Linked DNA regions of Pelodiscus sinensis. The protein of the gene in region 2 interacts with the protein of the main gene of each other region in a pairwise test. Links are inferred from orthologs where the notes say so. Each region holds a gene or a part of one and is shown on either strand. Other genes may lie near its edges. The genes, in order: MAD2L1BP and INPP5K.

Region 1 (3,916 bases), on a different chromosome or scaffold from region 2:
CAAGTTGCTTAGTAAAACCTGCTATATAATCTTTGCCACACCCATATTAAGCATAAATTTAGATTATTCAAGTCCCAATCCATTCATTAACATTGCACATTGCTCTTGCAGCAGCTAGAGAACAGCTGTATGAATACCTTGATATTCTTGGGGGTGAGTGGGCATGCTGCACATAAATTGAATTACTCCCACCAACTCTCTAGGGTTCCTGACTCAGTTTCACCAAGAAATTGACATCTGTGAACAAAACTGCATTAGTGCTTATCCCTTGCATGGGGCCATTTAAAGCTTTGTTTTATGGACAGTGAAATACACCCCAGCTGCACGTAGGTAGCACATTCCCTGGATATAGGATTCTGAGGAGAGAATGTATAGTTACAGATCATAAAAACATTCTTACGTATTAACTAAAGTAGCACCAGATTATAAAATGCCCTATTAAAATGCTAGAGAGCATGAGTCATTCATGGAAGCCCTTAAGTGTCACTGGTGCTTGGAACCATATGTAGCTGTCCCAGGCAGAAGTCATTCCCTGCTGATTAGATGGATTTGTACTGCTGTTTCCACCACAGGACAAGTTGACAGTCAGCTTCCTCCCTCGTGTTGGCACTTTGTAGTTGAGCTTTGGTCGGAACCAGTCAATGCCACAGTCACGGTGCCCCTGTACCATGACAATGGTGCCCATAGCAGGAACAACCTGTAACTCACTGAAGACATCTGCAAGGAAGAGTGAATGGAAAAGCTTACGAACACAGGTCGGTGTTTGCAGGCTCTCCTCAGCATTGCCCACAGAGATGCCCTCCAAATTGATCTCATAGAGCTCCTTAGGGCTCATGGCATTTCCTCCAAGCAGAATAAGGATCCGGGGAACCAAGGTCAGATTGAATATGGCTTCCAAATGCCGGAACACTCCCTCCAGCTCCATTAGCACTTGCTGACATTTCCTGCTGCTCCCTCGGTCTGTAGGCTGTGGCTTCTTCTTAATTGCATCACCATCCTGCCAAGGAAAAAGTATATTCTGAAATATTAGGCAAGTGGTGGTGTATTTGACTGCATTTAGCATCTTGAACCACCAGACCCAACAGAAGAAAGAACAGATATTTTAAGAAAAACTAAGGGTTTTTTTTCCTTAAAAACCTGAAAAAAGGAATCTTGGTGTCTTGGTGGGACCCAACATTGAATGAGTTCATTACTAGTGTTTCCTGAATTTAAGGTCAGTAGAAATAAAAGATATCAAGATGGATATAATGAAGCTAGAAACCTCTCACAGCTTGGCATAGCTCAATGAGCATTTTAGTCAACATTCAGCCTCTCTGGATTTTCTTAGGAGGCCGATGTTCTGCTGTGCTCTAAGATCTGTAGATAAAACTACTTGACCAGCCAGAGAGAAGTGTATTCTCTTTAGGATATTGTGTCACATTAAATATAAACACTGACTGCATTGAGAAAAACAATGCATGCAACTGGAAATACAGAAGGTATGTTGATAGAGGCTACAAATCAAGACAACAGCTATCCAGTAGATTAGCTATCCAATTCTTGGAAAAGGCTGACTTGCCTTGGGAGCCAGTGCCACTTTATTCAGTGAGAAAGATTATGAGCCACCTGATCTTTTTTCAAAGTTTTATTGCCCAACAGACTAAATAGCTCTGAAACGCTGTCCATATACCCTGTGTTGCTATCCTGATGAGTTTAATAATCATCTCCATAACACATGGAAGTTTCTATTACCAATAGCCTATTTCAGTTACATGATGGACTTCCCCTTCTCCCTGTTTCTGAGACGTCTGAAGGTCTATCCTAGTTGTGCAAACTTGGGAGCTTAGACACTTTCATGTCCCATCTCCCACTGGTTCCTAAAGATAGCCAGTCCAGCCAAGACCCTGCAGCCAGTCACTGCTGGGCCTGAACCAACCAGAAACCTTACTACTTTGATCTGTAACTGCTGTCTCTTGAACCAGTGTATCAGATCATCCTACCTCGGGAGGGTGCGGCTGGGAAGGCCTATCTGGCCTGGCACAGTAGGCTGACTTTTGCAGAACATGCAGGGAACGGTCTCCAGCCCTCCTCAGCCCAAGGCAAAGTCACTACAGCGCTGGGGCTGGAGGCAGAGATTCCCGGAAGGCAAAAGCACCCGCAGAGATTGACCTGTTGCGCAGGCAGAGGAATGAAGCAGATTTGCTGGAGGGGAGGTAGCGGCCAGCAGCCAGCCCAGGAAAACAGCGTCTCACCGGGCAAGCGCGGAACGCACCCGGCTGCCAGGATCCAGGGCTGGCTCTCGCTCGGCCGGCGGCCCAGGCTTACCTGCGGCGGGCGGGGCAGCGCCCGCCGGTAGAAGTAGGCCAGCTGCTCGTAGGGCAGGGGCAGCTGGTGCCGCTGGTGCAGCACGTGCTTGAGGAGCTCGCAGGCGAAGTGGCAGCAGCCCTGCCGGGTCACGGGGCCGGGGAACACCACCGAGACCGAGCGGCAGCCCGGGGCGCGGCCGGCCGGGCCCTGCGTGGGGAGAAGCGGCGCCGCTGCCGCCCCGCTGCCGCCCCATCCCGCGGCGGGGTCCGGAGTCAGCGTCGGGGCCTCCAGGGGCTCGGTCTGGAGCAGGTCAGCTGCGTGGAGAGGGGAGAGGTCGCTCGGCGCGGGTGGGGAGGGGAGAGGAGCCCGGGCCCGCCCCTCACCTGCGCGCTCCTGGCGGCCCATCCCCGCCATCTTCGGCCTCACGCTCAGCTGCCCACTCCCGGCCCCAAGTTGAATGGCCGCCGCCCCGGGGCATCACGGGACATTCACGTCCCTGCTCCTTCCGGTGGCCGTGACCCCGCCGGCGCCATCTTTTCTTAGGGCACATTAGTGTTCCCTCCGCCCGCCTTGTGGGGACATTTTATTTTTGCACAAAAACCGCTTTTTTCGCAGGATCGGTAAACCTCCTTTTTTCGGGCGTAAGAATCTTGCGCAAAAAGAAAACGTAACGTCCACACTGTTTGTTTTTGCGCAAAAATGGATTGGCAGAAAATATGCAAATGAGATTGTAACTCATGCAAATGAGTCTCTCATTAGCATATTTTTTGCCAAGCAAACTGATCGTGTAGACGTAGCCACAGTGATGTTGTTGTAGAGTGGGAAGTAAATTCCAGGAGCCCTGCATTTCAATCTCTCCTCTGTGCTAATCACTAGACAATGCTGCCTATAGCAAACCAGCTGGAAATGCACATTAAAAACAGGGAAATGGTGTGTTATGGAAGATTAATCCCCTTCTTCTCACAAGTTAGTTTCATCAATAGTATGAGAAAAATAAGTCATTGTCTTTGGTCCACACCCAAGGGTCCATTGACAAGATCCTGTTCCACTCAAGCGGATCTCAACACAGAACAAAAATAAAAAAGACCCTGTAGCTGACATCTCTTCCTGTTTTCAGTGAGCGATCACTAGAAAGACCTCTACCTGGCCTTTAGTTTGTGGCATGATGGTAGCCAAGATCGGTTTGTTCTCCTAGCCAAGTTAAAAGGTGTCAGAATAAATCTATCTGCCTTGATACTATGGTATACAAAAATGCAAGGGGGGGATCCAATTTATAAGGAACCCATTTAATTCCCTCCCTTGCTTTTCCCCAGGGGCTGCATCTAGACTGGCATGATTTTGCACAAATACTTTTAACGGAAAAGTTTTTCCGTTAAAAGTATTTGCGCAAGAGAGCGTCTACCCTGGCACGGATGCTTTTGCGCAAAAAAGATGTCTTTTGCGCAAAAGTATCCGTGCCAGTGTAGACGCTCTCTTGCGCAAGAAATTAACTTGCCTGTCTACACTAGGCCTCTTGTGCAAGAATACCTGTAGGCTGTGTCTACATTGGCACCCTTTTCCGGAAAAGGGATGCTAATGAGACCAGTCAGAATTACAAATGCCGCGGGGGATTTAAATATCCCCCACGGCA
Region 2 (3,916 bases):
CTTTCTATGCCAATATCTAAATCGTTGATTAAGATATTGAAGAGAACCAGTCCCAAAACAGACCCCTCGGAATCCTACTTGTTATACCTTCCAGCAGGATTGTGAACCATTAATAACTACTCTCTGAGTACGGTTATCCAGCCAGTTATGCACCCACCTGATAGTAGCCCCATCTAAGTTGTATTTGCCTAGTTTATTGATAAGAATATCATGGGAGACCGTATCAAACGCCTTGCTAAAGTCTAGGTATATCACATCCACCGCTTCTCCCTTATCCACAAGACTTGTTAGCTTTTTTTGATAGGATATCATATTGGTTTGACATGATTTGTTCTTTACAAATCCATGCTGGCTGTTCCCTATCACCTTGCCACCTTCCAAGTGTTTACAGATGATTTCCTTAATTACCTGCTTCATTATCTTCCCTGGCACAGAAGTTAAACTAACTGGTCTGTAGTTTCCTGGGTTGTTCTTATTTCCCTTTTTATAAATGGGCACTATATTTGCCCTTTTCCAGTCTTCTGGAATCTCTCCTGTTTCCCATAGTTTTCCAAAGATAATAGCTAGAGGCTCAGATGCATCCTAGAATACTCAAGGAACTGGTAGAGGAGGTATTTCATCAGGCCCTGGTGACTTGCAGGCATCTAACTTCTCTTTTTTTATTTTATCTTCTAAACCTACCCTCTTCCCATTAGCATTCACTGTTAGGCATTCCTTCACACTTCTCGGTGAAGACCAAAACAAAGAAGTCATTAAGCATCTCTGCCATTTCCAAGTTTCCTGTTACTGTTTCTCCCTCCTCACTGACCAGTGGGCCTACTCTGTCCTTGGTCTTCCTCTTGCTTCTAATGTATTTATAAAAAGTCTTCTTGTTTCCCTTTATTCCTGTAGCTAATTTGAGCTCATTTTGTGCCTTTGCCTTTCTAATCTTGCCCCTGCATTCCTGTGTTGTTTGCCTATATTCATCCTTTGTAATTTGTCCTACTTTCCATTTTTTATAGGACTCCTTTTTTATTTTTGTATTAAGTTAATGTTCAGTTATAAACTTCTGAAAGAACAACCATAAAGTTTAGTTCAGATTTATGAACATTTCAGAGTTATGAACAACCTCCAATTCTGAGGTTCTACTTTACTTTGCAGAGCTGTCGTGAGGATAGTTACATTAAAGATTGTCAGTTACTCAGATACTTCCATATGGGAAGCTGTGTGAGAACCCAAGGTAGATGGAAATTAGCCGCTGAGCATTTTGAAATCCATCTGCAACATAGTAATGTTGAAAAAAAGTCTTAGATACAGTTTGTAAAGTTATGTGGCAGGGCTGTGCTTTTGGAACCCCTCATCTAAAGCTCTTGGATCCTTATGGCTTTTTGTGCTGTGTTCAGGTAGAATTGAGGAGTGCACATGCCTGGAAGTCGGGGATTACATTTCTTCTAACTGCAGATTGATTCAAATCACATGCTTCCATCAGCAATAAATTCTCTTAAACCTCACATTCTTAACAGAGTTAAATCTGTTGGGAAGAAATAGTTTAGTGTATGAGTTGGGGCAGGACTTATATCAGCTTTTATGAGCAGCAGCAGTGTGTGACCAATCTGAATGCTGTATTTCTTTCAGCTTTTCTACACCCACCTATATGTTTTTACCTTGGAATAATGCTGAATTTCACATGAGTTAAAATTTGAGCTGAAGAACCCTGAGAGTGTGCCACTGAGGGTTTTCTGGTATTCAGGATTTAAAGGGTAATGTGGCTGATGCTTTGCAGTGTAGTTGTGTTGCTCTTTTGCCTCGATGGCATCCTTGAATAGTGAAGATGTGCTTCAGGATTCGTCATCCCTCTCCCTGTTTGACTTAGAAAGCCTGCACCCTTTCCGTAGCCGCTCTGCAAGTTTGAGCAGTACAGGGTCCAGTGGTCGCTTACAGCTCCGACAGCGAGTGGCACAGCTCATGGCTTGTGTGGAAGACATCAGCTCAGACGATGAGATGCATGAGGAAGTCTCTCGCACTCTTGATGAGGCTATCCTGATCTGGGGAAAAAAGCTGAAGGACAAGTGCCAAGAATTCAGGTTTCATTCTCTGATTGGCGAGTTGTTATATTTTTGTAGAGCTAGTCAATAGCTTTTATGATGTTCAATTTTGTCATTATTTGTATTTTTTTTTTCACGTATGGGACTTAAGCAGCGGAAAAGTGGATCTTCCCGTGTTCACGTGTTTAAATTTCAGTTTTGTCTTATTGTTTTATATGTAGACTCCACGTGGTAACATGGAATGTGGGCACAGCTTCTCCTCCTCCTGATGTCACTGTCTTACTTCAGCTCAATTCACAGGGCTCAAGTGTGGATATGTATGTTATCGGGTAGGTATGTGATAAAGGATGCTCTGGTCAGTTTTCTACGTGTTACCTGCCAAAATGTTGTTTTTCCATAACTTGCCCAATTCTTTTGAACAGCCATAGCTCCTGTGACGATTGTGAAAGGTGATGAATTGGATTGTAGCATAAGGCTGGAGACTAGTGTCTGTGGATAGAGATAAGGAACATTTTGTGATGAACTGTCTGCTTGATTCCCCAACTCCCATCTTTTTATGTAGCAGAGCTACAGGCCTTATGTGCCTTGATACATGTTCACTTACTCAAATACCTACAAGTTTTAAACATTCTTCTCTTGCTGGCAGTTGTTGACAGCACTGTGTAGTGCAGAGTTTTTAAAGAAGCCAATGAGAGCCAAGTATTTTCAGAGATTCTCCCTTGTATCAGCCAAGGTGTTTCTGTCCTTGCAACAGTCACCTCATGGCAGAGCCTGTTGGGGTTCTTTTCTGCCAAATCACCCTGTACTCAACCTCATTCTGTCTCTTTCCTTTAGCTCAATTGCAGCACCACCTTGTAATGGTATCACTTGTCACTCCATCTTTGTTAACCCTTTTTTTTTTTTTTGTTCAGTCTACAGGAGGTGAACTCCAGGATCATAAATTTCCTTTCTGACTTGGCATTTGATGATCCATGGAGCATGTTCTTCATGACTGTACTCTCTCCTTTGGGTTATGTTAAGGTAACTTTTCAATTCTGTAAATAGCACCTTTTCTCCATTATTTTTCTCTCCAAACTCTGATTATTTTGGGTAACAAGTGCATACTTTGGCAGTTGGTACTGAGTATTTTTGCACAGATACTGATAGTTCTCTCTATATGCACATTTGTCCGTTAGACTTGTAGCCTGCTGGCTTGTTGGCACAGGCACTTTCTAAAGTATTCCTCCCTAACATTGGCAGTCACAGTTTGCGCAATAACGTTTGGATCTGTGGCGTTTCAGTGCTAGTTTTGAAGAGCTGGGAATAATGGCATTTTTTGCAGCTCTAGTACTGAACAATACATTTTCTATCTTTAGGTACTTGTATGGTTCTCATTACCATAGTGTCAGTGCCATAGAACCCATGCCATGAACATCCCCAGTAGTATTGTTTATGCGCCAAAGAGTGTAAATTCCTAAAGGAACAGAGTAGTGAAGAAGTTTATCTCCAGTTTTGCTGTCCATGAGTGGATTTAATTAAACTGTTGTATTCGAGCCCACAGTAGGACTATTTTACTTTTGTCTCTGGAATATTTCTTTCCTCTGTGCATCACTTGGGATCTATAGTATTGTTGCTAATAATATAATCTACTGAGGCAACTGCTTTCATTACAGCCATCTCAAGGAATGACATTGATTTTGATAGTGCTTGGTAAGATTTTTGTTATTTGTAAAATGAGTGGAAATAAACTGTTTAAATATGAAGGAATAAATTCAGCTAATTTCAGAAGAGTTTTTCTTACTAATGTTCTGAGGAAGTGTCTAGAATTTCATAAAGAAACCTTGGTTAGGTAGCTACTTGTAGTCAATGAATTAAGTGAAAGTAAAATGTGGTCAGGCACGTTCTGAAGAGAT

The links.
Region 1: the proteins of INPP5K (region 2) and MAD2L1BP interact in binary tests that used the Homo sapiens proteins (3 or more experiments, as listed by UniProt). The link is inferred for Pelodiscus sinensis from reciprocal best matches to the Homo sapiens genes INPP5K and MAD2L1BP.

Annotation. Positions count from the first base shown.
Region 1 is NC_134713.1:139,343,480-139,347,395, reverse strand, and holds the start of MAD2L1BP (MAD2L1-binding protein), read right to left. Parts: upstream 2,884-3,916; 5' UTR 2,701-2,883; coding exon 2,305-2,700; intron 998-2,304; coding exon 461-997; 3' UTR 1-460. UniProt on the Homo sapiens protein: May function to silence the spindle checkpoint and allow mitosis to proceed through anaphase by binding MAD2L1 after it has become dissociated from the MAD2L1-CDC20 complex.
Region 2 is NC_134731.1:1,222,436-1,226,351, forward strand, and holds the start of INPP5K (inositol polyphosphate 5-phosphatase K), read left to right. Parts: upstream 1-1,037; 5' UTR 1,038-1,788; coding exon 1,789-2,063; intron 2,064-2,245; coding exon 2,246-2,353; coding exon of another isoform or gene 2,354-2,357; intron 2,358-2,935; coding exon 2,936-3,044; intron 3,045-3,916. UniProt on the Homo sapiens protein: Inositol 5-phosphatase which acts on inositol 1,4,5-trisphosphate, inositol 1,3,4,5-tetrakisphosphate, phosphatidylinositol 4,5-bisphosphate and phosphatidylinositol 3,4,5-trisphosphate.